Regions from separate parts of the Mus musculus genome. Here regions 1, 2, 3, 4, 6 and 7 are each reported to be linked to region 5. Evidence: microRNA targets listed by miRTarBase, many of them from high-throughput screens and not tested one by one. Region 5 holds a microRNA gene; each other region holds the end of a gene's coding sequence.

Region 1 (4,067 bases), not on the chromosome of region 5:
CTTGCTTTAAATGATTATGTAAACAATTATTATAAAACTACTGAAAAGGTAAACTAGTATTCTCTGGACGTTACTTTTGTCCTTGGGAACATCTCAGTATTATGAAAATTGCTAAGCTTACTCGAAGCCTTTCCTAAAGTGAATTTCAGAGAGCACACAGACTCGCTGAGAGAATTTAAGGAGTCCTACTGAATTAGTTGGTGAAGCCCAGCAGCAGCTAAACAGCTCACTGGCATGCATGCTTTAACATCAGCAGTGAACTTAAAGGCATCACCTTCTTACTGGAACACCGGGACTCTTCAGCCAGTTTGACAGTAATTCAGTCTTTTGAAAACACAGTAAGATATGCAGTGGCCAGACCTGGAGCTGCAGTCAGTGGTCACTGCATGGCCAGGCTCTTCACATACATGCTCATGGGTATCTCTTGCTCACAAACCAGCCACAGTAGTCCTGGCTCTGTTTCCCTCTCGCTGATTAAACAACCTTGTATGAAACTACAAAAGAGTATTAACGTTTTCTAAAGAGTTCTCTGAAAAGAATAAGTTGGCTCAAATTTACTTTTTGAAAAATGTTGACTATGAACTATTAATAGATATTAAGAAAATGACCATTTCAGTTTCCTTAGCAGTCAAGATCAAGAATTACTGGGTGGTGGTGGTGCCTGCCTTTAATCCTAGCATCCAGACAGAGCCAGGTGGATCTCTGTGGGTTCGAGGCCAGCTTGGCTTACAGAGCAAGTTCCAGGACAGCCAGGCCTACACAAAGAAACCCTGTTTCAAAAAAAAATCGTTAATCGAGCTGGGCGGTGGTGGCACACGCCTTTAATCCCAGCACTTGGGAGGCAGAGGCAGGCGGATTTCTGACTTCGAAGCCAGCCTGGTCAACAAAGTTTGTTCCAGGACAGCCAGAGCTATACAGAGAAAACCTGCCTCGGGGGGAAAAAAAAATCATTAATCAATGGAATGAAGACCTTTAAGCATATTTAATTTTTCTAAGTCAGCAATTCTCAACCATCCTAATGCTACAACCCCTTAATATAGTTCCTCACGTTGTGGTGACCCCCCAGCCATAAAATAATTTTGTTGCTACTACATAACTGTAATTTTGCTACTGTTATGAATTTTATTTTCTGATGGTCTTAGGTGACCTCTGTGAAAGCAGTCATAACCCACACGTTGAGAACTATTGCTCTAAGTGATGGCAGTGTTTATGAATACAGTGATGTGTCTGGCATCACAGAGTCAGGTAAGACACACTCAGAACATTATGAGCTCAGCATCTCCCTTGGAGTCATGGAGGAGTAGCAGTCATGGAGAATCCAACCAGGGACAAAAGGGAAATACTGGTAAAATGAGAACCCCACATGTCACAGCTTGGCTTTAGGCTTGGGACATCTTACACTGTAAGACCAGGCCCAACCTAGGTGGATGGAGATCAGCTCTGAGCTCTGGTTCTCTTTGGGAGGTAGCTGAGGATAGAGAGCAAAGAGCATCGGTGTGGTGATGGGGTGTGGTGGTGTGATGGGGTGGGGTTGGGGATGGAAGGGTGGGGTGTCGGGGTGGGGGACAAGAATTGGTCTTGTGAGAGATTGTGTGCTTTCTATAATAACATTTACCAATTTTGACTTTAAGTTACTCTTGAGGCTAAAAGTTGCAGGTCTCTTGGCAAGTTGACACCTGTCACTTAAAAGAGGTCCTTGTTCTTTTCTCCACAGGCTGAGCACCTAAAGCTGAGGGTTTAACTCCTTGTCAGCTAGGGAAAGTCACTTTTTGGAAGAAAAAGAAAGGAGACACTTTAAAAAGGGGTTCTAATCCTTATTTCCAAGAGAAAAGAAAAATGGAGGGAAAACTATTGAAACTATCTAACTCACTCCAAGCTGTTCACGCTTAGTTCTTTATTTTCTATGTGCTCGCGTAGTGTCTAATTCAAACATTCACAAGTTTAAACATAAATTCAAAAAGAAGATGGCAACAGATGTTTATGTGAATTTCCATTAAGAGTAGTTATCTAACTAGACATTTCTCTTCTGTCACTAGCTCCGCAGGTTCACTGAAAGTTAAAAACCATAATTCTTGTGTAAAAGTTAACAATGAAGTTTCATATAGATAAGCCCAGTCAATATTTTATGTTCTGTCCTAGCACCTACAATAAATCTTTCATTCCCTTTTATGACCTCTAGTTAATTGTTTTACAGCTCTAAGAAATGTGTTCTAAGTTGTAAATGCCTGCTTTCTATCTCAGAAGTAATTATGACATGTGAAGACTGGCAGAGTTCTCACTGTAGTTTTCATATCAGCGAGGGCTTTAATAGCAGTCCTATTATAAAGGAGTTAATAATTACTAGTATAATTTTAGGAATACTTATAGGATCATCATTAAGGTGTGGTGGTGCACACCTTTAATCCCAGCACTCGGGAGGCAGAGGCAGGCGGATTTCTGAGATCGAGGCCAGCCTGGTTTACAAAGTGAGTTCCAGGACAGCTAGGGCTACAGAAAAACAAAAAAACAAACAAACAAACAAAAAATAAGAAATCATCTATTTGTCTATATAGCATCACTACAAGACAGTACACACACAGAGAAAAGGCATATTAATACTAGAAATCTTTCCTATAATGTTGTCCTTTGGCCTTGCTTGGAAGGGCTCATGGTTCACCTGTCACGGTGAAACCATCTCAGGAAGATCACCTGCTAGCTCTGAGCCTCCCCTAGATGGCTCCTGGGATTAGATAAAAGCCCAGCTCCAGGAAGCATCATGACTAACCTGGAATCAGGCTAGGACACACAGCTCTCATTTTAGCTGACTGTTCAGCAGTGTTAGAATGTCCCCCTGGAAATGGGTGGATGCAGCTAAGGACCTCTGACTCTGATTCATCTCTAACAGAGGTAATGACATCAAAAGCAATAAGCACCGTTATCAACCATCATCAAGGGCAGCTGGCATGGGTTTCTCATTTTCTCCCTAGTAACTGTTTTCTGGATGAGGAAGGGAAGGTGGAACACAGCATCAAGGCTGGAGAAAGCATCTGACCTTACAGTTCTGCTTTCTCAAGTCTTCTAAGACAGAGAATTTGTACAGCTCCAGGCATTATTGGAAGGATAAGGGCATTTTTCTTATTAAAAATACAGCAATGCGGGGCTTGAGAGATGGCTCAGTAGTTAAGAGCACTGACTGCTCTTCTGAAGGTCCTGAGTTCAAATCCCAGCAACCACATGGTGGCTCACAACCATCTCTAATGAGATCTGACGCCCTCTTCTGGTGTGTCTGAAGACAGCTGCAGTGTACTTACATATAGTAAATAAATAAATTTAAAAAAATACAACAACACAGATCTTTCTTCTGGCCAAGGCACCTACACATCACCTAATACTCAGGTGAGCAGTGAACCATTGGAAAAGACAAGCCTGTGGCTTCCACTCAAGATCAGAATCCAGGCTTTGTCGAACGCGAAGCGAGCACATGGCCTCTCCTTTTAATGGGAAGAGAAGAGATTCAAACTCCCAGTTCAAGAGCCTCGTTATGTAAGATATGGCACAATTTTCACCATGCTCATTGAAGGGAAAAGTGAAAAAATTCAAGGAGCAGATTATTAGTTTTTAGAGTTTTCTCTAGACATCAGAGACCTCTGTTACCCTGGCTGTAGCTGCCATTCCTTTCTGTGGGAAGCTGGGCCTCACTCATCCGTCTTGATTTGGCTTTAGTCGCTACTAGGGCTGGTACAGTCTTCACAGCTCAGGACCTCATGGTCTGAAAACAGACAGAAGTCAATCCGCTCATACTCATTCTTCTCCCCACACTCAAACAAACACGCCACCAAGTCCTGTTCTTCCACAACAGCCAGATCAGAGTAGCCACTGGGCCCACGGTTCAAGATCCACGGGCGGGACCAGCAGTTCACCTCCAAGGGGTTCCGGTTGTAGTAGATGCCTAGGTTAATCCTCTTCCTCTTGCTAGTTGGATGTGAGTACAAGAGCCATGTTGCTGATGGTGTTTCAGCTCCTTTCTCCACCTCCAGAGGACTGTCCAGCAGAGGGCACTTCTGAGTAGCGGGAGCACCTTTGCCAAT
Region 2 (4,067 bases), not on the chromosome of region 5:
GGCAGGGGCCCCTAAACCTGAGTTTTGTTTACACTATTTCCCTCTCTAACCCACATGTTCCTGGACATAAAAATAAAAGCTCATTTAAAAAGTGTCACCTGACATGGTGGCATTAATCCCAGCAGTGTGAGTGAGGGGTGGGGGGAAAAAAACTCCCAGACACACTACAAAGTGAAACCAGGCTCAAAAAAGGTCAAGATCAGCTGACTGTAAGTCCTTCTAGATTATAACCTCAAATTCCACTGATTTTTATGTGGAAGAAAATGCTATCTGAACTAGTACCATATATAAGCATTGAAGACAGGAAAAAAAAAATCAGTTGTTTTGAAAAAAACAAAACAAAACAGGAGTTTGAGGCCAGCCTGGGGTACACAAAATACTGGGGTTTTGGTAAGGTGTCTGTGGAGATTCTCTGGCTACCCTAGAAAAAAAGAAATATTCATGCTACCATTAGTTTTCCTTTGTAAGGTTAATATGGAGAGGGAGGTACTGAAAGCAGTTAAGTTTTTCAGCAGATATGTAAATACACCCTTTGGGTCCTCTCTCCAAAACCCCATCAGTGGTGGACGGTTAAAAGCAGCAGTAACTTACCACTGGGCAACACAGAGGCTACCATTTCTGACAGGGGGAGACAAAGGCTTTAACCAGAGCCTAGAGAACTAGAATGTAGTGTTAGCTCAACTGCTGCATCTACTAAAGAGGTAAACCTAGCTGAGCATCAGTAACAGACAAGCACCTTCAAATGAGCATCCCATTCCTGAGCACTGCAAAGTAAGACAGTTGAATACATTGCCACTTCACTATAGGCACACCAGAAAGAAAAAGACAGAGGAAAAGAGGAAGGAGAGTAAGCCATAGAGGTGCCAAGGGCCAGTCATTATGAACTGAGGGGCACACCCTCATATCATTGTTACACCTAACTGCTGAGCACCGGTTTCCAGTTGAGTCACATTAAATGTGTTCCTGTTTGCATACACGATTTGAAGGGAAGACCAGAGTGTTATAAACCACTAAAAAAAAAAGTGAAAACAAAGGTCACTTAAAGCCTGTGTGCTCATTTGAGACACCATTAACCCAACTGAACTGTAATTAGAAAATATACCTTCAATCTAATGAGTTAGTTTTAAAAGGAATTCTAAACAAGTCCAATCAGACACACCTTTTACACAAGTAACGTAGAAGATAGTATTATTTCTCAATTATAGGTAGATAAAATCAGAGATGTTAGTGCAGATTATTAAAGAGATTGTTAAAAAATTGAGGCCTAAAGTTGAAAGAGACCCTACCCACAACTTTTCATGAAACATAACCTAAGAAAAGCCTAAATGTCACTAGGAATGTAAGACTGAGTTATAAACCCCTAAAAGGGAGAGATGCCTGGTGGAAATGGTGAGTCTCTTCTTTCTTTAAGGACGGGTTCCTGAGCAAGCCCACCACAGCAAATAGAATAATCTGTAATACCAACTACATAGCTCACAACCTTATATCCCATTACAGAATACAATAATCCAACTGCTTATGTTCAAGTTTCTATTTTTGGCCATGTTAATACTCATTTATTAGCAGTGCAGGGTTGAAATAACTCTCTGCTACTAGGTGCTTTATTTATTCATTTATTTATTTTAAAGCAGATCTAAGAATGTTCTTTAAAGTGTCTTAAAAACCAGAGTAAAAATATTTCTTAAATAACCCTTTGTCCTATGAACACCTATAAGAAAATGACACTGTCTGAGACAAACATGTCACTTAAAAAACACAAAGGCAGAATACTGAGGAAGCAAATTTAGCTTAAGTGCAGAAAAATATACAGAAATTACTCCACTAAATTTTTAATAGCATAATAGGACCCCTAATCTTTTCTTCTATTGGCGAGTGGGACCTGAATGTGGAGGATCAAACCTGATCTTGATGCTTTGCTAAGGTATCTAGACTGTTATCAATGGCACAGAGGCACCCTAAATAAAATACAGTTCATTCATCCCATTGAGGCTCAGGCTCTTGCTTTAAAAAGAAGCATAAACAGAAAGGAGGGGTCAGACCAACTAAGAAGCAAACAACTCCACAGTATGGAAGCAGCAGGAGGAGGTTGTGAGATTATGTCATTATCATGTTACTATGGAGGAAAGATTTAAATATCGAAAGGAAACAACTGTGGCATGGTTCATGGGCCCTCATTTCAATTATTTGTATTCATAAAGGATAAATCTCAATCTTTTATATCTGAGCTTCACACTAACTCAAACTTTATTTGCTTAAAACTTTTAACATTGTCAGCCTGTGAAGAAATGCACTGTGAGGGGTAAATTCATCATCGAAATTCAAAGAAATCTCTTTTTAATTTTGGATCATTGGTGAAACTACCCAAAAACAGGAAGTATTTTAAAAACTTGAATCAATGAAAACATGAATAAAATATGAAATTAAGACTGATTCTGGTGGCCTACTTAAAAAAAAAAAAAGAAAAAAGACCGTTATCAAGACAAAAGAAGCACTGGCTCTGAATCTCTTTGAGAATAACAAATCCACTAAGTTCCAGGAACACCATTCCCTCCACACCCAAGGAAATAATGTGAGTGCTGAGTTAATCCAGAATTCATGTTCACCCCAACTGCCTCACTAGTACTAATTTAGAGTCATGATTCTTTTTGACACTTACAGTTCAGACATATAAACTCATGTTAAGTGACAACTGGTCTGTCAAAAGTACAGGAAAAGAAAGAACAAATATTTAATTAAAACCTTTCTAGTTTTTTGTTTTTGATTATTGTTCAAGTTGCTGTTCTCTAGCAAGAAGCAGTTTCCATAGCGTCCACCTGAAATCTTATTGCTTTGCAGCCATGGCATTCCTTCCCTCCATTGACAACTCGAAAATCAAACAGTCACTCCAGTGATTGATTGACATGGCTTTCGTGGGGGGAGGGGATTGGCAAAGAAAAGACTGAGACAAAATGGCAACTTAAACACGTAAGCATACAATGGTTTTAAGAGCCAGGCGGTGGTGGTGCACCCCTTTAATCCCAGAGCTCGGGAGGCAGAGGCAGGCAGATTTCTGAGTTCGAGGCCAGCCTGGTCTACAAAGTGAGTTCCAGGACAGCCAGGGCTACACAGAGAAACCCTATCTTGAAAAAAAAAAAAAACCAAAAAAACCCAACAACAACAAAAACCAAACAAACAAACAAAAAAAAAACCCAAACAAACAAAAAACCCAATGGTTTTAAGAGGGAAAGAGATATATGATAGAGAGAAAAACATTATTCTAGACAAATGAAATAGCACTGAAAGCCCATGAGTCAAGCCACAGCCCAAACCGTGTCCTACAGAGGTTTCCTTTGTTTTTAATAAAACCTCTCCCTAAACATCACTTTTAATCTTCCCCAGATGAGGCTTCATCCTCGGACCCTTCGTCTCCGGACTTCTTTTCTGGAGGGCTTTCTGCTTCCTCATCCTCTTCTTTGGGAGAAGGAGTTTTTTCCTTTGATTTCTTCGAAGCTGTGGGGCGACCCACTTTCGCTTTGCCTTTCACTGGACTTGGCGTCACTGAAATATGGAAAGTAACAATTTGGGGAACAGAAAAAAATGCCTTTTAAAAAAATCATTTACAAAACCAAAAGTCTGTAAGTATAAAAATTTATCCCATCTCACTAAGAAGGAAACACACGAAAAGGCGCATTACTCCTAGTGAGGATTAGGTCACATTCTGAGCAGAAACTACAACTATCAAACAGGTTTGGAAGCTCTAAAATATGGCGAGATGAGTAAAACTTTTTAACAAGAAACATATTAATTATATTTGCCAGAATGAAACTCTAAGCAAATCTAGACTTCTGATTTAATAAATTAGCTTGAACCAGGAAAATACCTGGCAAAAGCTTTGAAGACCCAGGAGATAAATCTTTACTCTCAAAGGTAGTTTGGTTTCTGCTATCAGTATCCTGACAGAACAGAAGATGAGAACGGAAAGCCTTCCCCAGCTGCTAGGACTACTGTCCCCAGAAGCAGCCAAGGCTTCCTGAATCTCTATTAGGGTACATTGTGTCTGAAATGAAGATGTCATTCCTACATACAGT
Region 3 (4,067 bases), not on the chromosome of region 5:
GAACAATATAGTCAGTCTGTCGTAGCAACACCCCACTATCCTGGTAGCAACTTGTCTTAGCGTTACTAATTGAAGGGCTTTAGCAGGCCCACGCATGGCAAACATGGCACTGGCAGGCCTTGCTCTTTCTTCCTGGTTCCCTCTCTGTTCCTAAACTACAGATTATATCTCTGAAGTTGGCCAACAAGGTCTGTTTCCTTACATGGCCACTTTCCCATGCCAGACTCATTCCTAAAGCTGATCATCCAGGTTCAGCTATCAAAGTGCTGAAACCCAGCAATCAAAAGCCCCCTTGGCTACCCTAATTAACATGCCTAATGAGAACATATCACTGAATCCTAGCCCATTCTAACATGGGCCTCCCCTTTTTACCTCTTAAAAATCACACCTACAGGGTCATTTGCTGCTATTCTCTGCCAAAATCAGAAAGCAGTCATCTTAACTTTTCTTTCCCACGTAAAAAAATGATACCTCTGTGAAAACAGGTGTTTGGGTGTGGTTTGTACCCAATTCTGGGTCTGGGAGGGAGCACCCTGCTGTCTGTGGGGACCTTCACTACTGCTGCAATGAAACACCATGGTCAAAGCAACTTGGGTAGGAAAGGGTTTGACTTACACTTCCACACTACTGTTCATTGAAGGAAGTCAGGGCAGGAACTCAAACAGAGTAGGATCCTAGAGCTAGGAGCCTATGCAGAAGCCACGCAAGAATGCTGTCTACTGGCTTGTTTCTCATGGCTTGCTCAGCCTGCTTTCTTACAGAACCCAGGACCTTCAGCCCAGGGATGGCACCACCCACAATGGCCTGGGCCTTCCCCATCAATCATTAATTAAGAAAATGCCCCACAGACCTCCCTACAGCCTGATCTTATGGAGGCATTTTCTCAGTTAAGGCTCCCTCCTCTCTGATGACTCTAGTGTGTCAACTTGACATAGAACTAGCCAGGTCAGTTCTCAAAGCAAAGGACAATGAAAGCAACAGGTGGAGGCAGAAGTAAGGGGGAAAAAATGCTCTGGAAATGAGGCTGCATGTCAGGGTCCAGTGAGCGCTCTTAACCAATAAGCCATCTCTCCAGCGCCTGTATTGTTAGTGACTGCATTGCATGTTAATTCTTGTTATTGCAGAATGCAAATGCCTTTTGTCAATGGGGATAAAGGGCACACTTGGAGACAGCATGCTAGTGTTTTGCCATGCTAAGGATGGTTTATAAAGGTCTAAGTGGAATATAAAAACATAAATATATGTATCAGGAGCCACCTGGGACTTTATCCTTTTTCTGAAAAGACACAAGCATAATCTTGTCTCCATGGGACAGTACCAGGCCCCTCCTGAGGACCTAGGTTCAGTTCCCATCACCCCATGCGGCCATACACAGCCATCTGTGACTCCAGTCTCAGAGGATCTGATGTCCTCTTCTGGCTTCCAATATTATACCTATTTTGTTCATGGCAAAAATGTTTACAGAAATTCAGTAGATTTCTTATCCTGGTGATTGTTCTACTTGATTTTGCTGCAGTAACTACTGGCTTTTCAATGTATTCTGGCTCATCTACATGAAACTGTGAGACAGACCACAGAGAAAAGGCTGTCTTCACTGTGTGGCTGCATAACCTTCAACATAATTACAGAGGGACTTTTATAAGTAGAACTTCTAGTAGAATTGCTCTAAGGCAAACAGAATAAAAGTTGACAGAAAAAAAAAAACAAACCTATGCCACCTAAGCAATCAGTATCTTTTCCTATACAAAGTATCTGATCTGTTTTGTGGAAGCATTTGAATTTCTGGGAGAGGGGAAATAAGTTTATCTGATCTCTTTGATATAATCTCTCCCTCCTTGCACAACATAATCAAATTGACTTTTCCAAGCATAGGGAATAATCCTAAGGAACAGTGTGTGCTCGCTCTCTCTCTCTCTCTCTCTCTCTCTCTCTCTCTCTCTCTCTCTCTCTGCTCCACTCTCAGTCTCACTGTCCCACAGCTATGCTGCTTCCCCTGTGTAACCAGTACTTTCCAGGGGTTATCCAGGATCTGCATAAATTTCCCTAAGTCACGCAGGAATCTAGATATTCACTCTGTTATGTCTCCTCTTTGGATCTAAGGATATAATAATAAACATTAAACATGACATTTAATATATAGTAGTTTTTATCTACTTCAACATACACAACCAAGCTTATTTTCCTAAAATGATAAACTCTTTGTGGTAAAGTATAGTGAGATAAATTGTCTTTTTGTGATGGGAAAACTTGCCAGAGAACAACTTTCTCCCTAGTAGTTATCCTTCCTTTACCCATGAATAAATTTACAGGATGTCAGGTTCCAATGACTTAGTTCAGAAACTAGTTTTATTTGAACATAGAGATAGTTTTAACAAGCTTCAGTCTCCTTGCTGGAGTATATAAAACTTTTTTTTTTCATTCTCAGCTGACAGATTTAGTTACACACCAATTTAGTAATTTGCAAAATACAAACTTACAAAAAAAAAGTGATGTCTTCTAAATAAAACCCAGAATTGAACATGAATGAAATGATTGCTTTTTTTCAATCTTGGACATCAACTCCAGGACCTTGTGCATGCCAGGCAAGAGCTCTACTACTGAGCTTTGTCCCTACCCTGGAAATCACCTTTATAGTTAAGTAAATGTTGAATTAAATGCAGTAGCATATTACTATCTTTATTTTTATTTAAGCCAAGTATGCTGTGGAGCAAAAAGTTTAAACATGCATGATCTAGGGCTGGGGAGATGGCTCAGTGGTTAAGCGCACTGACTACTCCTCCAAAGGTTCTGAGTTCAAATCTCAGCAACCACATGGTGGCTCACAACCATCCGTAATAAGATCTGAAGCCCTCTTCTGCAGTGTCTGAAGACAGCTACAGTTTACTTACACATAATAAATAAATCTTTAAAAAAAAAAAAAACCACACATGATCTATCTCTATGTTACATTTTAACAGGGATTTCAGAACATAAAACAATTTTCTCTATTTCCAAAATGTATATATTTTAACTCAAAGGAAGTATCTACAAAACAGTTTCTGTAACAAGAGACAAATTGGGCCTAGGGCTGGTCACTGCCTACAGTTCTAGCACTTGAGGGGCTGAGACACAAGGATCACTTGAGCACAGGATTTCTAGAACAGCCTGGGCAACAGAGCATAACAACAATCCCCACCCCACCCCACCAGAAGCAGAACATAATAAAAAACAAACAACAACAACAACAACCAAAATCTCCTCAGAGCCTGAGAGATGGTTAAGAGCACTGGCTGCCCATACGGAGGACCCAGGTTTAATTCCTAGCACCTACAAGGCGGTTCACAGCCATCTATGACTTCAGTTCCCGGGATCCAGTGCTTTCTTCTGGCCTTCTCTGTGGGTACTAGGCAGCCACCCGGTGCACTGACTTACATGTAGGCAAAACATCCACCCAGGTAATAGTTAACACAAAACCAAAAAAACTCAAAAGCAACATTTGTACAAGCTATTTATTAACATTATAACATGAAGCCAATTTTCCTCACAGAGAATCTACAAGATTTAACACCTTTGACTCTTGAGTAAAACCAAGAAAGTGCTATACATTAGGAAAAACCTCACAAGCACTGAAGCTCAAAGAACTGACTTTTGATTTAACAAATTTTGAAAATATATTTTAAAAAATACTCTCCAGTCGCTGTTCTATGAACAGTTGTATGCTTTCTTAAACCAAGTTCAAGAGTTACAATGCTCTACGCTTGCAAGGGACTCCAGATATGGGCAGTCCTTAGTCATCTTCTTTCTCAATATAAGTCTTTGCGTTTATCCGCGCCATCTGTCTGGCCAAATACCTGTCTCTAGCTGACATCACAGTTTCCTCATTGCTCCGTTTTGCAAACTTGCTCACAGCCTCAGGGGGCCTCTCTTGCTCACTGCCCTTCTCTGGCCTTTCCTCTGCCAGTCTGTGTTTTGTTGCTAGTGATGTTTCAGAATGAGAGGGCTTCCCTTGTTCCCCTTTGTCCTTCTCCGTGTTTCTTGCTTTGCTGGATCTTTCCTGATCAAGGTCGTCCTTTGGTCTAGACCGTGGG
Region 4 (4,067 bases), not on the chromosome of region 5:
TCCAGGGCAGACTCACTCCCCCCACGGAAGGGCTGCTAGTGTGTATAGGCCCTGCGTTCTGGAAGAGCTCGTCCCTAGTATGCAGGAGACCCTGGCTGGATTCCATCCTGAGGATGATTTTTTTAAAGTGGACTCCAATTTAGAGTCAGGCTTTAAAACAGGTGTGCTTTGAGTTACCATTCTAAGCTAGGCTATCCCTGCTGGTCCCCGCTGAAAAGCCACTGTCACTTCAGCTGAAGCTCTCGCCCTTGTCCCCTGACAGAATAAGACCTGGAAGTTTGTTGAAGGCCTCCCCATTAATGACTTCTCCCGTGAAAAGATGGACCTGACAGCAAAGGAGCTGACCGAGGAAAAGGAGACCGCTTTTGAGTTTCTCTCCTCTGCGTGACTAGACACTCGTTTTGACATCAGCAGACAGCCGAAGGCTGAGGAATCAAAATGTCGTCTTTGAGCCTAGTACCAAACAGTAATAATGCTACATTCAAATTGTGAACAGCAAAATATTTTAAATAGTGTGTGCTTTATGATTTGTGAAAGTCTATCATGTTGTTAGTGCTGCAATCTAAATAAAAGTATATTCAAGTGAAAATCTCTCAGACTCTGTTTCTACTTTATATTTAGTATCTTCAGGAAAACAAGTTTGCCCAATAGATTATAATTTTACTTTTTTAATTGACTAAAAGAAATAAAGATGGAAAATATTATGAAGTAAAGCATTAGTCTCTAACATAAACAAGGAAGCCCAATCAATTTCAGAGGGATCCCATTACTTAAGTCCTTAAAGGTTGGTTCATGTTTTGCTCATAATTTGATTTTAAAATTAGCTGTAAGAAGGTTGCAGATAATCTATCTTCTTTATATTCTATAGCAGAATAATGAAGTCATTAATATTTGATAGCCAATAATACCACACTATTAATATTTGTAAGCTAAGATTATTAGAAACATAAAACTGTTTTTGAGTCAGTCTGTTTTCCATGAGAAGACATGCATCATCTTTGTGTGTTTTGTGCATTACTCAGTGCAATAAATAACCATAATCTCAAAGCTGGCTGTAATTTGCTTTGTGGATATTCAAATACTTGTTGGTTAGATTTGCTGTTTACCTGTATTAGTAAATATTATCTATATTAAAGTGCATACAGTGTTTGCCTATACCTCACAAAACCCTGCATTCAATCCTCAACACCACTCAGAACTAAGCATAGTGGTGCGTGCCTGTAATCCCAGCACTCAGGAAAGGCAAAAGCCAGAGTCATCCTAGGCTACATAGTGACTTCATGGCCAATATAGGATTCGTGAAACCCTGTCTTTAAAAATTGTTTTTCTTAATAATAAGATGACCTATTTCACCAGCTCTGATAGGATCTGGAAAAGAAAAAAGCAAGAGTTTAAAACTACCATTAGGAAAAAAAAAAAAAAAAAAAAAAAAAAAAGCTACCTTCAGGACTTTTATTAGTGAGAAGCATAAAGCCAAAATTGTATATAAGTTAATAAAATTTTGCATGAGTGCCAGATAAGTTCTCAATCCCCATAACATCCTTGCTCCTGTAACACAGGAACTCAAGACTCTGCATGCTATATTTCTTTCACATTTCATTTCCCAACTATCTCTTGTTTTGAAAATACAAAATGGCACTAGAGGTGTGGGAGGTGCAGCGTCAGAAGCAGATGAACACTTGATCTTTCCTCAGTGTCACATTTATTGAAGAACAATAAATTGAGAAAGCATGACAGTTTCATCGACAGCAATTTGCCCAAATAACCCAGCTATCCCTGATCCACCCACCCCAACCCCCACCTCCACCAAGGAAAACGTGTATTTTACTCTAATCTTAATAATAGTTACATTACAGTTTACACCGTGAAGACAGTGATCACACTCAGAAATCAAATCTTAAAAATTGAAGAAATCAGCTGGGCGTGGTGGCACATGCCTTTAATCCCAGCACTTGGGAGGCAGAGTCAGGCAGATTTCTGAGTTCAAGGCCAGCCTGGTCTACAAAGTGAGTTTCAGGACATCCAGGGCTACACAAAGAAACCCTCTCTCAAAAAACCAAAAACCAAAAACAAAAAAACAGAAACAAAAAAAATTGAAGAAATCAGACCATCTCATCTTTACCATGAACTCTCTGTGGTAGGGTTAAGGGATTTGTCTATGCTGCAGATAAGAGCTCTATACCTGGATTCCCTCACCCCCGTTTTTTTATTTATTTGTTTATTTTTGTCATGTATGCTATCTGAAACTAAATCATTCCCAGCTCTGAAAATGTACAAAAGCCAGGTTTGTTCATGGGATTTCTTTGAAGACTGACTTCCCCCACATCTCTTGTCATTCTTTCATGGCTCTCTATCTCTGCCTTTCTATGCTGTCTCTTGGTGAATGAAGCACCTCTCCAGGTTTTAGTGGGTCCAGATGAAGGGACAGACAAACAGATGGACAGCAGGTCCAGAGAAGCAAACAGGACAGCAGTCAACAATTTAGCAGCATGCTGTTTCAACAGCAGGGATGGAGACAACCTGAAGCCCCCAGGACAGTTCTCTGCCTATCTGTTAAGTACAGGGTGCTCAAGTAACAGACTAGAGTGGATACAGTGATAACAGTGATACAGGTGATCAGCTCTTCATGTGACTCAGGTGAGAGATGCTCCATCTCCTTAGTCTGAAATGGTTGTTCTTGGCCATGGATTCTGTGACACAGTTTTAACACCCCCATGTGCTATCTCAAGCCCCCATCTACCCCAATAAATGCATGGGCTGGACCCCTTTCCCAGGAATCAGTCTGCTGTGTTTCTGGATAGATGGTGCCCATTCATGTGTCCACCCAACTGAGTTATCTTCCATCTTCATATGGTGTCAAAAGCACTTGTGAAAGAAAGTCTCATGGGGCAGTGCCTGGCTTAAGAAATCACTGCTTTAAATAGTAGGGAGTGACTTAGACTAGGGCATAGCCTGATCTCAACAACAAATAATTTATAATACATATAGTAGAGAAATGGCTCAGCAGTTAAGAGCACTTGTTCTTGCAGAGGACCTGGGTTCAATTCCCAGCACCCTTAAAGGTGGTTCAGTACTATCTATAACCCCAGGTCCAAGGGATCTAATAGTGCATGTGATACGCATACATGCATGCAGGCAAAGCATTCATACATATAAGGTAAATAAACCTTACAAGGACTATTTATACACAGTTTTTATATTGCATGGTTCCATTTTTCTATAAATTAGGAGTGTCTGTCCTGAAGCAAGAAACCTAGGTGCTCATCTTCCCAAACTCCTAATTGTTCCACAGGAGTAGAAAATGGAATCCCCCACCACCTCAGCAAAGGGTATCTAGCAGGCATGGATAGCCCCCAGAAAGAAACACAAGTATTACATGTTAATAGTGAACAAAAGTTCAAACAGTAACTATAGTCACTCACTGAGTATATGGGGGTGTTAAAACTCATTCCTCATGAGATCTAGATGAGCGATGATTTTATGTGCAGATAGAGTTGGTACTGTTAGGGTTATTTATATAAGAAACAGCTCTCGTCTCAAAGGGAATGAGATCACTTATTTTGGAACCAAATAAGAGTAACGATTGCAAGGGAATACAGATTTAGGTTACTCCAAATTCCATGTTCTAAAATGGCAACAATTTCATGAAGTTTTCGTAAAGACAAAACAAAAAAAGTCATAAATCTGGGCCCTTTGAATATATTGGAAACACCAAGTAGGCAGGTTTCAGAAGTGAGGAAACCTTTTCTGAGGGCCTCAGATGTTGTCTGATAACAGCTTAGCTTTGTGTTGGGGGAACCTAGTGGTCAACTAAGTTCTTTGAAGAAAATAATGGGGGTGAGGATCCATTTAGACAGTACTGGTTCACTCTCTCTCTCTCTCTCTCTCTCTCTCTCTCTCTCTCTCTCTCTCTCTCTCTCTGGGAGGGGGGTGTGGGGGGGTGTCCTGAGGAGTTGGTTTTTTAAGGTCAAATCTGAAGAATTAGAAGTTCCTCACTTTCTTGAGGGAATAATTATAAATTCATCTGTGAACATAGCCTAGGAATAAACACCTAGAATAGAGGAAAA
Region 5 (4,067 bases):
GAGGAGGAGGTCAAGCCTCCCTAGACATCCATTCTTCCGCCCTCAGACCCTGCTTCGCATCCTATTTGACAAGTTAACGTTTGCAATGTTCTGTGTCCTGTGAAGTCAGGTGGCTCACGGAAGAATGGAGACTGCACTTTCTTGACTCCAGAGGTCTCAGCCAGATGAGGGAAGCCTGCTTCCACAGCCTCATGGGCCTCTGGTGCAGCTATGGGTGGCAGGAGCTGCTGCCTAACTTGTTGGGGTGGGGGACTAGAGGAGAGGGGAGGATAGGCTTGCTCTGCACCCAGCCAGAGGTGGCAAAGGACAGCTCTACCACAGATCCTTCACCAAAGCTGTGAAATGGGCATCTGGTTCCAGTGAGATCTCCACTTACCTGAAACCCATTGGCAAGAACCCAAGCCAGACACAGCCAGGCACAGGGCTCAGTGACCCATGGGGACAAGGGACTTGATCCCTGAACAAAACCCACCTTAGGCGACAGCTTTGTTTTGCTTTAGTGGTTCCTAAGAACAAAGAACAAAACCAGACTAAACCAGTGCTTGGCTGCTCTCTCCAGTTCAGAGGAGGTATGGGCCACTGAGGTTCTCAGAGGGGCCTTACAGGGTGTGTGGTTCTTAGTCCACCTCTAAGCAAGGCCAGAGTGCTTCTGAGAGCAGGAAGGCATAGACTCAGCCATTTATTTCAAGTCTTCACAGAAATCAGGGTAACATTAAGTAGAATTAACACACTTTGATACTTGTACCATTGTGGTATACAAAGCAGATAACCATTTGCAAGTCCCCTGCAACCATCCAAATGCAGTCACTGCTACAGCCCAGGCTCTGAAAACCAATGGTTCTGTGCGGACGCTCCTCTCAGTCTGTCCTAGAGCCTTTGTCACCCAGCAGGTCTGGGTGCAGAAGCCTGGCCAGCCAGTGGGATGCTCCTTCTGGTTCCTCTGTCCACCGCTCTGCCTTGGCTGGGCTCATGTGACTGCACTGATGGCTCAGTCTCAAGCACCGTTCTCTAGACAGTGACTGAAAGAGCTTAGAGCTTGTTCTGAGACTCCGCTAGTACCAGGCTGGCTGAAACTCCACATTTGGAAGAGAGCAGAGTCCCAAGCCACACTAATTTCCCTTTACTTCCAACCTTTTTAGAATTAACATTACCTGGAGGTAGGAAGTGTGTGGAAAGTGCCTGTTCTGACACACGTTCTTCTTTGCTTTTAAGGAGCATCAAATTCAGAAGCAAACTGGAACACTAGCAAATCTGGTACTTTATTAAGACATTTTAGGCTTTCCTGCATTTTCAAAAACAGGAATGCTCTGTTGACTGAACACATCAAAAGGGCTTTGCAGAATCCTTGGGGACCAGCCACAGGAGGTGTCACATGATTCTGCAGTCTCAGAGCATGGCAGCTAGTTTTTGCAATCACAGGAAGCAGGCAACCGGCTCTCCATCTGCCTAGGGGAGGGTGTCCTTCATTGAATGACTGCCTTAAAGTCACAGCTCAATTCCAGTGTGTAGACTCAGTCTCTCTAGGACTGGGAACAAAGGCAGCTGCCAGGTGCAACAGTTTATGAGGCTCCGCCTTTTATATATGCCACGGGAGCCCAGTCTCTGGAAGCCCAAGATGGACCAACCACTGCTGTGGGCTGATGGCCTTAGCAGCCACATAATCCTCCCTTTGATGTCCAGGGTCAGTGCAGTCCTGGCCCCACCAGGGCTAGGAGAAGGTATATGAGAATCTCACTGTGATCTGTCCTGTGGAGGAAACAGCAATAAAATTTATTACCCAGTCACCACAGCCATTCCAACAGGAGTCCTCCCAGCCTCTGACCTCCACTTGAGAGGGAACTTTTCATGGGAGGACAGGGGCAACACTGAAGCCACACCTCACAATCCTGGGTCTGGGGTGCACAGTCACGGCACAGGCCATGCAGGGCTGTGAAGCCCAGAGAGGTTCAGAAAGGCTCTACAGACAAGGCCCTTCAGACAGGCATTCTCACTGCTCAAGGCAGCGGTGACATGGTGTGCTCTGCCCCAACACGTGGCAAATGCTCAGCGCCTGCCCTACCTGCTTCTAGGGAATGCAAACTTTCCAAGGTTAGCTCTGCACTCTACAAATCCCCACCTCGGGAGCACATACAGAGGGATACCACTGCTGTTGGGTCTGGTACCAGACACTCAGGCCCTTCATCTTCTTCTCCGTGGGAGGCCTGCCTCAGGCACTTACAGATGGGTAGGCTTTTTGCTCAAGGGCTCGACTCCTGTTCCTGCTGAACTGAGCCAGTGTGTGAAATGAGAACTGATATCAGCTCAGTAGGCACCGGAGGGCGGGTCCAATCACAGCTGGGCAGTGCCTCCTGGCGTGCCCTGGGCATCATCTTGCCAGCGACTGTGGAGACATGGAGACCTGGACTGCAAATACAAGAAAGAGTTCACCACGCCCAGCAGGGACAAAGAACCACACCCCCACCCATCACGTGTGGCATCAGCTGAGACAAGGTTGGCTCAGTTTCCTTGATGCACCTGGGTTTAGTTTTCTGTGACTCCCAATACACTTGACATTACAGTGAACTAATTAGCAGTAGAACTGTATTTTCTGTAGACACACTTAAGGGTGGTCAGCACGCTGTTTGCACTCTTGACAACACAGCCTTGAGGCAGGCTGGTCTCTCCTCCTCTGGAGTGACCACCAGGCAGTGGCCTCTGCCTGGCAGCTGCAAGTTAACTGTCCCCATCTCACCTTCTCTTCAGGTGCAGAACTTAGCCACTGTGAACAAAGCGGAAACCAATCACTGTTCACCAATCAGCTAAGCTCTGCACCTTGTTAGAGAGGTCATCGCCGGCCATAATTAAAGGGCTGGTGAGCATCTTCGAAGGCTGTTGGCTTCTTTTGTTTCCAAAGAGCCACAAGGCGCCTCTGTTCTCCAAACTGCAGAGAGAAAGTAGCCACGGTTCTGCAGGAGCAGCCAAGGTCATGGTTGCGTGGTAATCCCTGGCAATGTGATTTTAATCTCAAGTCACAAATCAGCATGCCAGGAACCCAAGCAGCCAGAGCAGGTGAGGGCAGCACCATGCCCAACCACTCCCATCCACATGTGCTGAGTGTCCTCCAAACCGCCTCTGAGCCCACCACGCTAGCAGTGCAGCCTGCTGTCCTTCAGCGCGCTGGCTGCACTGTATAGAGGAGCATAGGGGACTGGGAGACAAAGGACACACTTATCAGCTATGAGACCAATACCTTAGGGACCATCCTTGCTCTGAGTATGTGGCCTTTAACCCTGGGACACACCCTGTTCTCCAATTGCAGACTGAATGGGTTGGGATGTCTCTGGGCCCCTCAGACAGCAGGTGTGGTGTGTAGGGAGGGAGCATCTCTCTGGCTTGCCTGTGACCAAGCATTTGGTTGGATAAGCTGAGGCATAGCACAGAGCTCATAGGGGACCTAGCAAGTTGAGGATTTGCTCACTCAGGGGGCAAAAATACTCTTAGAAGAGTCACTAGGACCACTATGTGACTATGGCTTTCCTAAGTGAAGGCCTAGGGACCTAAAAAGGGAACAGTGGCTTTACTGTGTGACCTTCACACACCACATACCAACAATCCCTCAGCTTACAAGTTTCTAGAGAAATGTCTGCAGGAGGCAGTGAAGAGGCGCCCCGACCGACTCTGTCTATCCACACAGGCCACCGTCCTAGCTTGTAGTGTGCAGGCTTAGCAGGCTGTACCTGCTTACTCCAGCCCACTATCTCCCCTGCTTGACTGTGGCGGTCCCCAGCTCTTCTGCAACAACATGGTCATACATAGTAACATGTTTTCCCTTCATCAGTGTAGTTCTTCAGAAAAATAAACATTACACAGAAGTGGGTTTTATAAAAGTGAAATGTGAAAATGTAAATTTAATGTCTGACAATGGGTTAAGATTAGCAACACAATTCTAAATATTCATTAATTGGTAATCATAGAGAACAACAGAGTAACACAGTGATTGATGTAAAATTTCAAACATATACAAAAGTAAACATCATATGTACCACCATGGCAAGCGATAATGTCCTGGGATGATGTAGAGATGATGA
Region 6 (4,067 bases), not on the chromosome of region 5:
GGGCAAAAACAACTGGTTTGCTAGCTTTTTAGCAGAGCCGACCCTAACTGTATTAGTCATGAGGCAAGCCCCACTGAGTTTTGTCCAGTCCAAGGCAAGCTGCCACTGGGATTGGGCCTTCTGGGCCTTCCGCATCTGTGCCCCGCCTTGCAAACCTGTTCTCTCCCTCTGCAGATACGTGGATTGGCCCACCTTCCTAAGAGAGAACGTCATCTACATCTTGGCTGCTCGTCCTAACAGCGGAGCGATCCACCTGAAGCCCCCAGGATAGGTGGGACAGAGAAGCTCAGTTCTGGGACGGTGGCATCCTCTCTCTCTCTCTCTCTTTCCTTTCTTTTTCCTTTACCAACCTCTGGCACTGAGACTCATGGGAATGGGACACTGCCAACATCTTAATTTGTCATTAAGCTTTATGGCACTGAAGCCACCGTTCCCCTCACAACCGAGGCAGTATTGCCATAGTGAGAGGCCCCAAGAGCTGTGGCATTACCTGCTATGGATCACCTCCTGCCCGCACATCATAAAACTACCTGCCACCTCACGCATACGTGTGTGCACATGCGCATACAACCACATACATGCCTAGACATCCATGCCTTCAAACTCCTTTGGTTCTTTCTTTGATGAAAAAGGACCAAAAGCCTTTTGTTGAGCCCCCCTGGTTTAGATAAGAGGGTCTCTTCTCACTCTTTTTATTGGTCAGTTCTGATTCCCAGGAGAAAGAAGGGGACAATTTAAATTCACTTCCCCTCCAGGAGATGCCGAGAGGCCCCCCTGCCCACATGGAAACGCCCTTCGGTGATGACCACTGTTATTTGTGAGTGTCTGTATGTCCCTCAGGTATGCCATGGTGGGAGAACAGTTCAAAACCATCCCGAAGTTTGTGTTTAAATTCTGATTCCTTGTGATAGAGAAGGAACCTAGTTTGTGGATTTCTGCCTGGAGAAAGTGGAGACAGTCTCTCCCAGAGAGCCAGAAGTCTAGGAACTTTTCAGCCAGGTCATCCAACTTCACAAGTCCTTAGCAGAACAGGAAAACCAAGATGAGACCCCTGGTCCCTAGTCTTCAAGTGGTCCAAAGCTCTAGGGACCCAAGAAGAACAGATACACTGGCAGGAATCACTGTGTGTGAGGTGCTTTAGCCTAGGTGGCGGCCTCAGAGGCCGATGAGGATGCAGAAAAGAAAGCCCGGGCTTTTCCTACTTTCCAGCCCAACTCAGCCACAGACATAGAACTGTGGCATCATATGGAGGGCAAGCCACCCTCTTACATAGCCAGAGGAGCTCTGCAGAATGCCTACGCAGTTGTGCTTTTTAAGAAGAGACAACAAAGGCTCGAGAAGATTTGTATCTCAACTGTCAAGAAGTCCTAGTCAGCGTCAGAAGGGGGACAGTGTGTCCTTCTCCCGTCTCCCCAGTCGCTGCTTCTCCCTGATGCTCACTCCGTGTCTTCCCCTCACCTGAGAGGACCTTGTGGACAAGTGGAGAACGAACGCCATGGGTGTAGCAAGCTTGGCCTCCAGGCTTTGTGTAACCCATCACCCAGTTCTGAAGCTCTGGAGTCAGAACATGGTGTGGGTCAGCCCTAAGACCTAGGGATCCAGGTTCTGGATTTCTGTTTTCAACCAGATGACTTGGGTATGGGCAGTTCTGACAACTAGTTCTTCATGAGAGAACTGAGCAAAGTCCCGCAGAAAGCTTGCATTGTCTCCACTGCTGAAAGCACTTGTACTAAAGTGGATGGTTTCAGGAGAAGGAGCATGCTGCTCAGTGTTGAGAGGCTCAGATGCCATGGGCACCTCCAGCCAAGCCTTGCTAAGAACCCTGCATGCTCTCCTTCTGTAGGACCTGCCTTACCTAGAAGCAGGGTAGTATACTGCTGGAGACAGATTATTTAGGACTGAAATGAAGCAGGCAGGAGATACATGTGGGTTCATTTTGAAACCCACAGCTTTTAAAAACTATTACTTAAAGCTGGGCATGGTGGTACATACCCTTAATCCCAGCCCTTGAGGGACAGAGGCAGGTGGATCTCTATGAGTTGAAGGCCAGACTGGTCTAAATAGCAAGTTCTAGGCCAGCCAGGATTACACAAGTGAGACTTGGTCTCAATAACAACAATGAAAATGACTCGGCCATGTTCCCAGGACTGATCAGTAAGATGGCCCATTATTGAATCGAGTCGAAAACAAAGCACAAACCTGCTGGGCTCAAGGACTGCATCTGTAGCAGCCAGCCCTGGGGTTTTCCATTGAGAAGATTAAAGCATGCTAAATTCAGGGGCTCTTGCTCGCTCTCCCGATGAGTCATCTTTCTCTCTCTCTGTGGCTGTGGGCTGCTGAACCGCACAGAGATAATTCATCTCTGGGCTTTGGGAATTGGACAGTGCTTGTCTGCCACTCCCCAGCTGTGGACACTGGGAGTCCATCTCTTCTGTTCCATGGTCCTCTACAGACCAAGACGATGCTTACCACCTTGGAGCAGCTGTTTGTTGCTTCTGTACGGTTGAATGGCAGAAGCCCACAGGCTGAATCGGACTGTGCAGAGCCAGCCCCGCAGCTCATCCTCAACAGGACCAGGCCTATCTGGGATCACCTCTTTACCCAGGATGGCACAGGACAGCTGACCTTTTCTCCATAAGCATCCAGTGTTGTTCCAAAAGGAGGGCCCATTGCTCCCTAGTCCGTTGTTACAGAAGCCCGCCCCAGCCCTATGTCCATAATCTCTCTTTGGTGTGGGCTCAGTGTTTATAGAGGTACACTGTCATCAACCTAGTAAGACTCATTCCCTTTCCAAGCCTTTCTATCACTGTGACTGTCTAAAATTCTGCCAAGTGCAAAGGTTAATGTCTGGCTCTGATGAGGGTCTGAGAAATGTTTCAGTCTTTCCCATCTTGGCTGCTGAAAGTTAAGATCAATGCTTTTCTCAACACCGCCCATCCTGAGCTCCAACCAATAGAGGCTTGGGTTGCATATATACTTCTCTGAAGACCACTTCCCCCAGGCCTGGTTCTCATCCAGAAGTTCTCATCCTTATATTCAGATTAACTAAGGGAACATCAGGATGCCACAGCAGAGCTGCAGGGACAGAGCCGCTGAGAGCGGCTCAGCACTGCATAACCTCTCCGGGTCTGTCCCTTGGCCTCCTTCCCCCACAAGACATTTGAGCAGCAGCCCCTATGGTATCCAGGGATGAAGCAGTTTCCTTATTCCTAGGTACTGATTCAACTCAAGTGCTCTTCCTTTGAGGAAAGCTGCAGCAGAAGCCATGAATACATTGCCTCTTTCTAGCCCCAGCCCAAGCAATGGGCTGGCAGGGTAAACACTTGCCTTTCTGGACCTAGTGCTTCCTAAGGGAGGTCACCTGGACCTTGTTTAAGTGGCCAAGTCTTGGAGTTCCCCCATTCCTATCACCAAAACAGAAAGCACAGAATTCAACTGCCTGGGAAGAGGGCACTCCACTGGGAAGTGGGTGCCAGGGTTGTCCCATGCCTTAGTCCAAAGCACAATAATCATTGCAGGCATCACGGCTTCCCAAAGTGCATAAATCAGTAAGGCGAAGAGAAAGGATCAACAGAAACTGTCTAGTAGGGGCCCATCCAGCCGTGACTCCCCAAGAGGCAAAAGCAAGCAACCTTAAGGCACAAAACTTGAACTGGCAGCAGGCTCTGGTAGTCCACGTCTCCTTCCAACCAGCAGAGTAAAGGCACAGACACAGTTGTGCACCGCATATGTATTCAGAGAGACACAAGTATGTAGAGTCATTCATGGCCCAGAGCGTGGAAAATAGGGGCAAGTCTTGTCTGGACTGATGATTAAGAGACCCGTTTCCATTCTGGAAATCCATTCCAAAAACCGTATCACTCGTCAGCATCTTCGTAGTACAAGCATCGAAGAGTGCTCTTACACAAACCAAACAGCTACCACATTAGTAGGCAATATAACTTATGGGACCACCATTGTGCATGCCATCTGTTGTTGGTTGAAATGTCACTATGTGACACGTGACTATTCTGTACTTGGCTCTAAAAGGCCAAACAACCTTAATGCCAAAATTTCAGAACATCCTG
Region 7 (4,065 bases), not on the chromosome of region 5:
AACAAGGGAGAAAGGGGTACTGTGGGGCAGAGAGGGGAAAGAGTGCTTCAGTTCCCAAAAGAAAAAAAATGTTCCATTTGTAGAGAATATGTCACAGCTCAACTCTGGGAAATGGTTTGTGTTTGGGCTGGCAGAGGGATACATTCTGCTTGTGTTTACTCTTTGTTCCCCTGGACAAATGATGTCTTATTTTGGTGGCTGAACACTATTAAACATTTGAAGATACTAAGAATGAAAAAAAAAAAAAACGGACATTGAGGTGTGAGATTCAAAACAGTCAACGGAAGCACAATGTACCATCTTGCTGGTCATTGTGAAACCTAAGCCAGTTGCCAGAGTTGAGTCCTAACACTTACACAAATGTTTAGTTATTTTACAACTTAGAATTGCCCTATGCTGTTGTGATGTGTTATGATGTCCTCTTGCCTTTGTTTTCCTCAAGAACTAATCGCCTTGTTCATTTTTCTTAGGACAAGACCAGTGCTCTAAGCCTGAGCAATGTGGCAGGCGTGTTCTATATACTTGTCGGAGGTCTGGGGCTGGCCATGATGGTGGCTTTGATAGAATTCTGTTACAAATCACGGGCAGAGTCCAAACGCATGAAACTCACAAAGAACACCCAAAACTTTAAGCCTGCTCCTGCCACCAACACTCAGAATTACGCTACATACAGAGAAGGCTACAACGTGTATGGAACAGAAAGTGTTAAGATCTAGGGGTACGGTTAAGGTCTAGTAAACTAATCAGCCTTACGTTTGTGTGTGTTAACCTTTTTGTTGTTATTCTTTCCTGTTTCTTACTTTGGTTGGATTCTAGCATTGCCTCTTTGCTACTAGTTAGTTATCTTTAAACAATGATTGTGTTCTCGTGTCAGTGGTTGGTGCTTTTCTAAAAGCATAACTGGAATTAAGTTATGGTCTGTGACATGAAAGGAAAAAATACATTCTTAAGCAGTATTATTCAATGCAAATATATGTGAGTGACACGTGTGACCCACATGAATAACATTTAACTGTTAGTTACAGAGTTAAAAATAAAAGAAATGCAGTTAATCTTAATCATGCATTTCATTGAAGTCAAGATACCCAAAATATTTCGATTTGTCACTTACACAATAATATTGAAAATGAATGAGATGTTTTATGTTCTTTTATTTATACTAATCTTTGAAATTTGGGGTGCTTCTATACTTAGGGAATACCCAAGTGATACTAGCAACATGCCAAATATTTAGTAGTCACATGTGCCCATGGCTGCCATGTTAGACAGTATAATTCTAGAGAAATCAGATATTCTGGAACTGAGGTTTAAACTAGGAAAAAGAAGCAAGGTCCTGCCACCTCATGTAGGGAAGTCCTTCCATGAAGAAGTAGTGGTTGTTTTAATTAAGCAGTGGAAGCATGAAACAAATTTCTTAATTTTGAGTCCCTTTGTTATCCCTTCCTTGGAACTGATGGTGCTCAGGTAAGTAAGGGTCTAGGTTACTTGCTGGTGACCAAATCAAAATTAATACTTAGGAAAACCTGACTACCAATAATGCATCTAAATTTAAAGGCAAGCATGGATTCAAATAATGCTTCCATTCTACAAGTATATAAAAGGATAAAGTCTTACCACCTTCCAAGTACATTTGCCTTACTGATGTGCCTATCAAAAGTAGAACATAACAATTAGCAACTTCCTATACCTTATTTTAGCTGGCTAACTTTAACCCTACCAGTAAATGTCAATATATTCCAATTTCTATATGTTGACCTTCTTATATATAACCTAATAAATCTAAATTTAGTTAATTTTTAAACATTTTATCCAAACAAATCATTTGTTATTACCATGGAAAACATGATCTTACTTGAAGAAGTTGCTCGTTGTCCTGTTGTCCTGTAGACTGCAGCCTTCAGCTACTACACACTCCGTACAATGAACTAACCTGTTAACAAATTGTTCCCACTAGTGAATGTTCAACCCATAAGTTCATCTGTCATTAGCACTATTAGCATGTAATCAGTTAATGTTCTCATGTGCTAGTGCTTTGAGTTGATGATATAATTCAGTTGGGGGCATATCATTTGCTTTTTTTTTTTTTTTTTTTTTTTTTTTTGTAGGACAGTACAGGAACAATTTCAATCTAGCATAATTACTGCAAACCCCAAGGAGTTGAAGTCCAACTATTTAGTACGCCTTAAGAATATATAGCAGTTTTCCATGTTCTGTCACATCTATTCCCTGGGTTGTAATAAAAATCGATCAGGCAGTATTTCCCCTCTGGTACCTAAAACTCAGATACAACAAGTGGCTTGTCTAAAGCTATTCAACTAGGTAGTGGCAGATTCAAGTGTAAAGTGAAGCCTTTCTTCCTCTTTACTAAACCAGACTTACCTCTTCCTGACTTCTCCATCTATAGCCTGATAGTCTTCAGGAAATTTGAACCCTTAGTTAGATTTTGTCAATTTGACAAGAGATGATTAGTTTATTACACAGCTGTCCATGCAGGCCATCGGATGACTCAATAGTTTAGAGCACTTGTTGCTCTTGCAGAGGACCAGTGTTCAGTTCCCAGCACCCACATGGCAGCTCACAACCAACTGTAACTCCAGTTGCAGGGGAGTCAATGCCCTCTTCTGCCTCCATGAGCACTGCATATATGTGGTGCACTTATATTCACGCAGACAAAACATGTACAAAAATAATTAACATATATTATTAAAAACCATCTTGAAAAAGTTTGTAGACCCTCCATGCCGTACTTCTTATGCACTGCACTCCATATACTCCATACAGACACACACACACACACACACACACACACACACACACACACACACATATGTATATATGTACATATATGTGTGTGTGTGTGTGTGTGTGTGTGTGTGTGTGTGTGTGTATTGAAAACTACAGTTAGCTTCTTTGGCTTCTTCAGGAATGTTTTTGAAATCCATCTCATATGCAAGGACACAACAAGCCTGTAATTTCGAGAAAGTTCCATTTTTCCTCTAGGTCTATACTATTCCATCCTATGAAATACTGTTATTTTCCAAGGTATCAAGATTCCTTAAATAGCGTATATGTAGGTATTCTTTGAGTGGGTGAAAGGTTGAGACAGGAGCTTACCTAATAACCTAGAATGAGCTAAAACCCACAGAAATCCCCCTGTCTCAGCTTGAATAGTGAGATCATAGATGTGAGCCATCAGGTCCAACTTGCATAGACATTCCTGCTGGAGAGTTTTTTCCAGCTTAAGGGATCTTGAAGAAGAAACAAAAACTAATTTTATGTCAAGTGAAGAAAATTTTTTTGAATAACTGAGAGGGTGAAGTTCTTTTTCCTCAGAGAGCTTTTATCTGAGTACCAGTGCTGTTTCCCTTCCTACCATTTAAGAGCAGGAAACAGTCACTGAGAAGTCAAGTCACTTTCTTAGAGTTATGGGGCCAGATAAGGCTATCCCATTGGCAAGAAGAAAGAAAGAAAGCAAGGAAGGAAAGGATGGAAGGATGGAGGGAAGGAGAGAAAGAGACAGAGAAGAAGAGAGGTGGGAGGGGAGGGGAGGGAAAGAGAAGAGGAAGAGAAGGAGAGAGGGGGGGAGAGGGAGAGAGGGAGAGGGCAAGGGAGAGAGAGAGAGAGAGAGAGAGAGAGAGAGAGAGAGAGAGAGAGAGAGAGAGAGAGAGACTCTGGATCTGGGGGAGTACCAAAGAAGAGCTTTTCCTACTTTCATGTTAATCTTTTGGCTCTTTGCATTCTCATACATATGTTAATTCTAGGACCAGAGGTAGATAATGATGTCATTCATTCAACCTAGCTTCAGGGTTCACTCAAGAGAAAACATGAATGTTCTGTTAGTGTACAGGGAAAGGTGGCTGAGAAAGGATGTGAGCCAACAGGAGACAGACTCAGGAGCAAAGAATCCCCTGCATCTAGTCGAGGCCATGAAAACGAGGGCATTATCAGCACCCTCTCAATCGGGCCCCTAATTTCAAGGCAAAGCACCTATAGATGCCAAGCTGTTTCATGGGTATCACTGCTTTTGCCTGTTTTCTAGAATGTGCTATCCCTTTAAACTCCCTG

Evidence for each region. Region 5 holds the annotated microRNA mmu-miR-24-3p (UGGCUCAGUUCAGCAGGAACAG, at 2,253-2,274, opposite strand). A microRNA usually pairs through its seed, bases 2 to 8, with sites in the 3' UTR of a target mRNA and lowers its output. Matches are read on the target gene's strand: a 7mer-m8 pairs with bases 2 to 8, a 7mer-A1 pairs with bases 2 to 7 and ends in A, and an 8mer does both.
Region 1: miRTarBase lists Neu3 as a target of mmu-miR-24-3p. Seed matches in the 3' UTR shown: 7mer-A1 at 3,218-3,224 and 8mer at 3,149-3,156.
Region 2: the mRNA of Nucks1 is a reported target of mmu-miR-24-3p. Seed matches in the 3' UTR shown: 7mer-m8 at 1,988-1,994.
Region 3: the mRNA of Nsrp1 is a reported target of mmu-miR-24-3p. Seed matches in the 3' UTR shown: 7mer-A1 at 2,816-2,822 and 8mer at 2,747-2,754.
Region 4: the mRNA of Mdh1 is a reported target of mmu-miR-24-3p. The part of its 3' UTR that is shown has no 7-base or 8-base seed match.
Region 6: miRTarBase lists Phf24 as a target of mmu-miR-24-3p. The part of its 3' UTR that is shown has no 7-base or 8-base seed match.
Region 7: the mRNA of Gria3 is a reported target of mmu-miR-24-3p. The part of its 3' UTR that is shown has no 7-base or 8-base seed match.

The regions. Positions count from the first base shown.
Region 1 is chr7:99,809,560-99,813,626 of GRCm38, forward strand. It overlaps Neu3 (neuraminidase 3), which reads right to left. Exons shown (of 3, transcript NM_016720.2): 3 at 1,880-4,067. The coding sequence ends at 3,699. Among named protein-coding and RNA genes, the nearest start is that of Neu3, 17 kb to the right of the region's middle.
Region 2 is chr1:131,930,504-131,934,570 of GRCm38, reverse strand. Nucks1 (nuclear casein kinase and cyclin-dependent kinase substrate 1) reads right to left here. Exons shown (of 7, transcript NM_175294.3): 7 at 1-3,537. The coding sequence ends at 3,365. Among named protein-coding and RNA genes, the nearest start is that of Nucks1, 22 kb to the right of the region's middle.
Region 3 is chr11:77,041,974-77,046,040 of GRCm38, forward strand. It overlaps Nsrp1 (nuclear speckle regulatory protein 1), which reads right to left. Exons shown (of 7, transcript NM_001012309.2): 7 at 2,319-4,067. The coding sequence ends at 3,767. Among named protein-coding and RNA genes, the nearest start is that of Gm22772, 8.9 kb to the right of the region's middle.
Region 4 is chr11:21,553,764-21,557,830 of GRCm38, reverse strand. Mdh1 (malate dehydrogenase 1, NAD (soluble)) reads left to right here. Exons shown (of 9, transcript NM_008618.3): 9 at 263-1,139. The coding sequence ends at 388. Among named protein-coding and RNA genes, the nearest start is that of Mdh1, 16 kb to the left of the region's middle.
Region 5 is chr13:63,299,458-63,303,524 of GRCm38, reverse strand. It overlaps Mir24-1 (microRNA 24-1), which reads right to left and starts at 2,317; the gene lies at 2,250-2,317. It overlaps Aopep (aminopeptidase O), which reads right to left. Exons shown (of 16, transcript NM_001289926.1): 16 at 648-4,067. It overlaps Mir23b (microRNA 23b), which reads right to left and starts at 3,041; the gene lies at 2,968-3,041. It overlaps Mir27b (microRNA 27b), which reads right to left and starts at 2,813; the gene lies at 2,741-2,813. It also overlaps Mir3074-1 and a transcript of Fancc not described here.
Region 6 is chr4:42,939,331-42,943,397 of GRCm38, forward strand. It overlaps Phf24 (PHD finger protein 24), which reads left to right. Exons shown (of 9, transcript NM_001346526.1): 9 at 175-4,067. The coding sequence ends at 271. Among named protein-coding and RNA genes, the nearest start is that of Dnajb5, 8.5 kb to the right of the region's middle.
Region 7 is chrX:41,671,749-41,675,813 of GRCm38, forward strand. Gria3 (glutamate receptor, ionotropic, AMPA3 (alpha 3)) reads left to right here. Exons shown (of 16, transcript NM_016886.5): 15 at 471-718. The coding sequence ends at 716. Among named protein-coding and RNA genes, the nearest start is that of Thoc2, 240 kb to the right of the region's middle.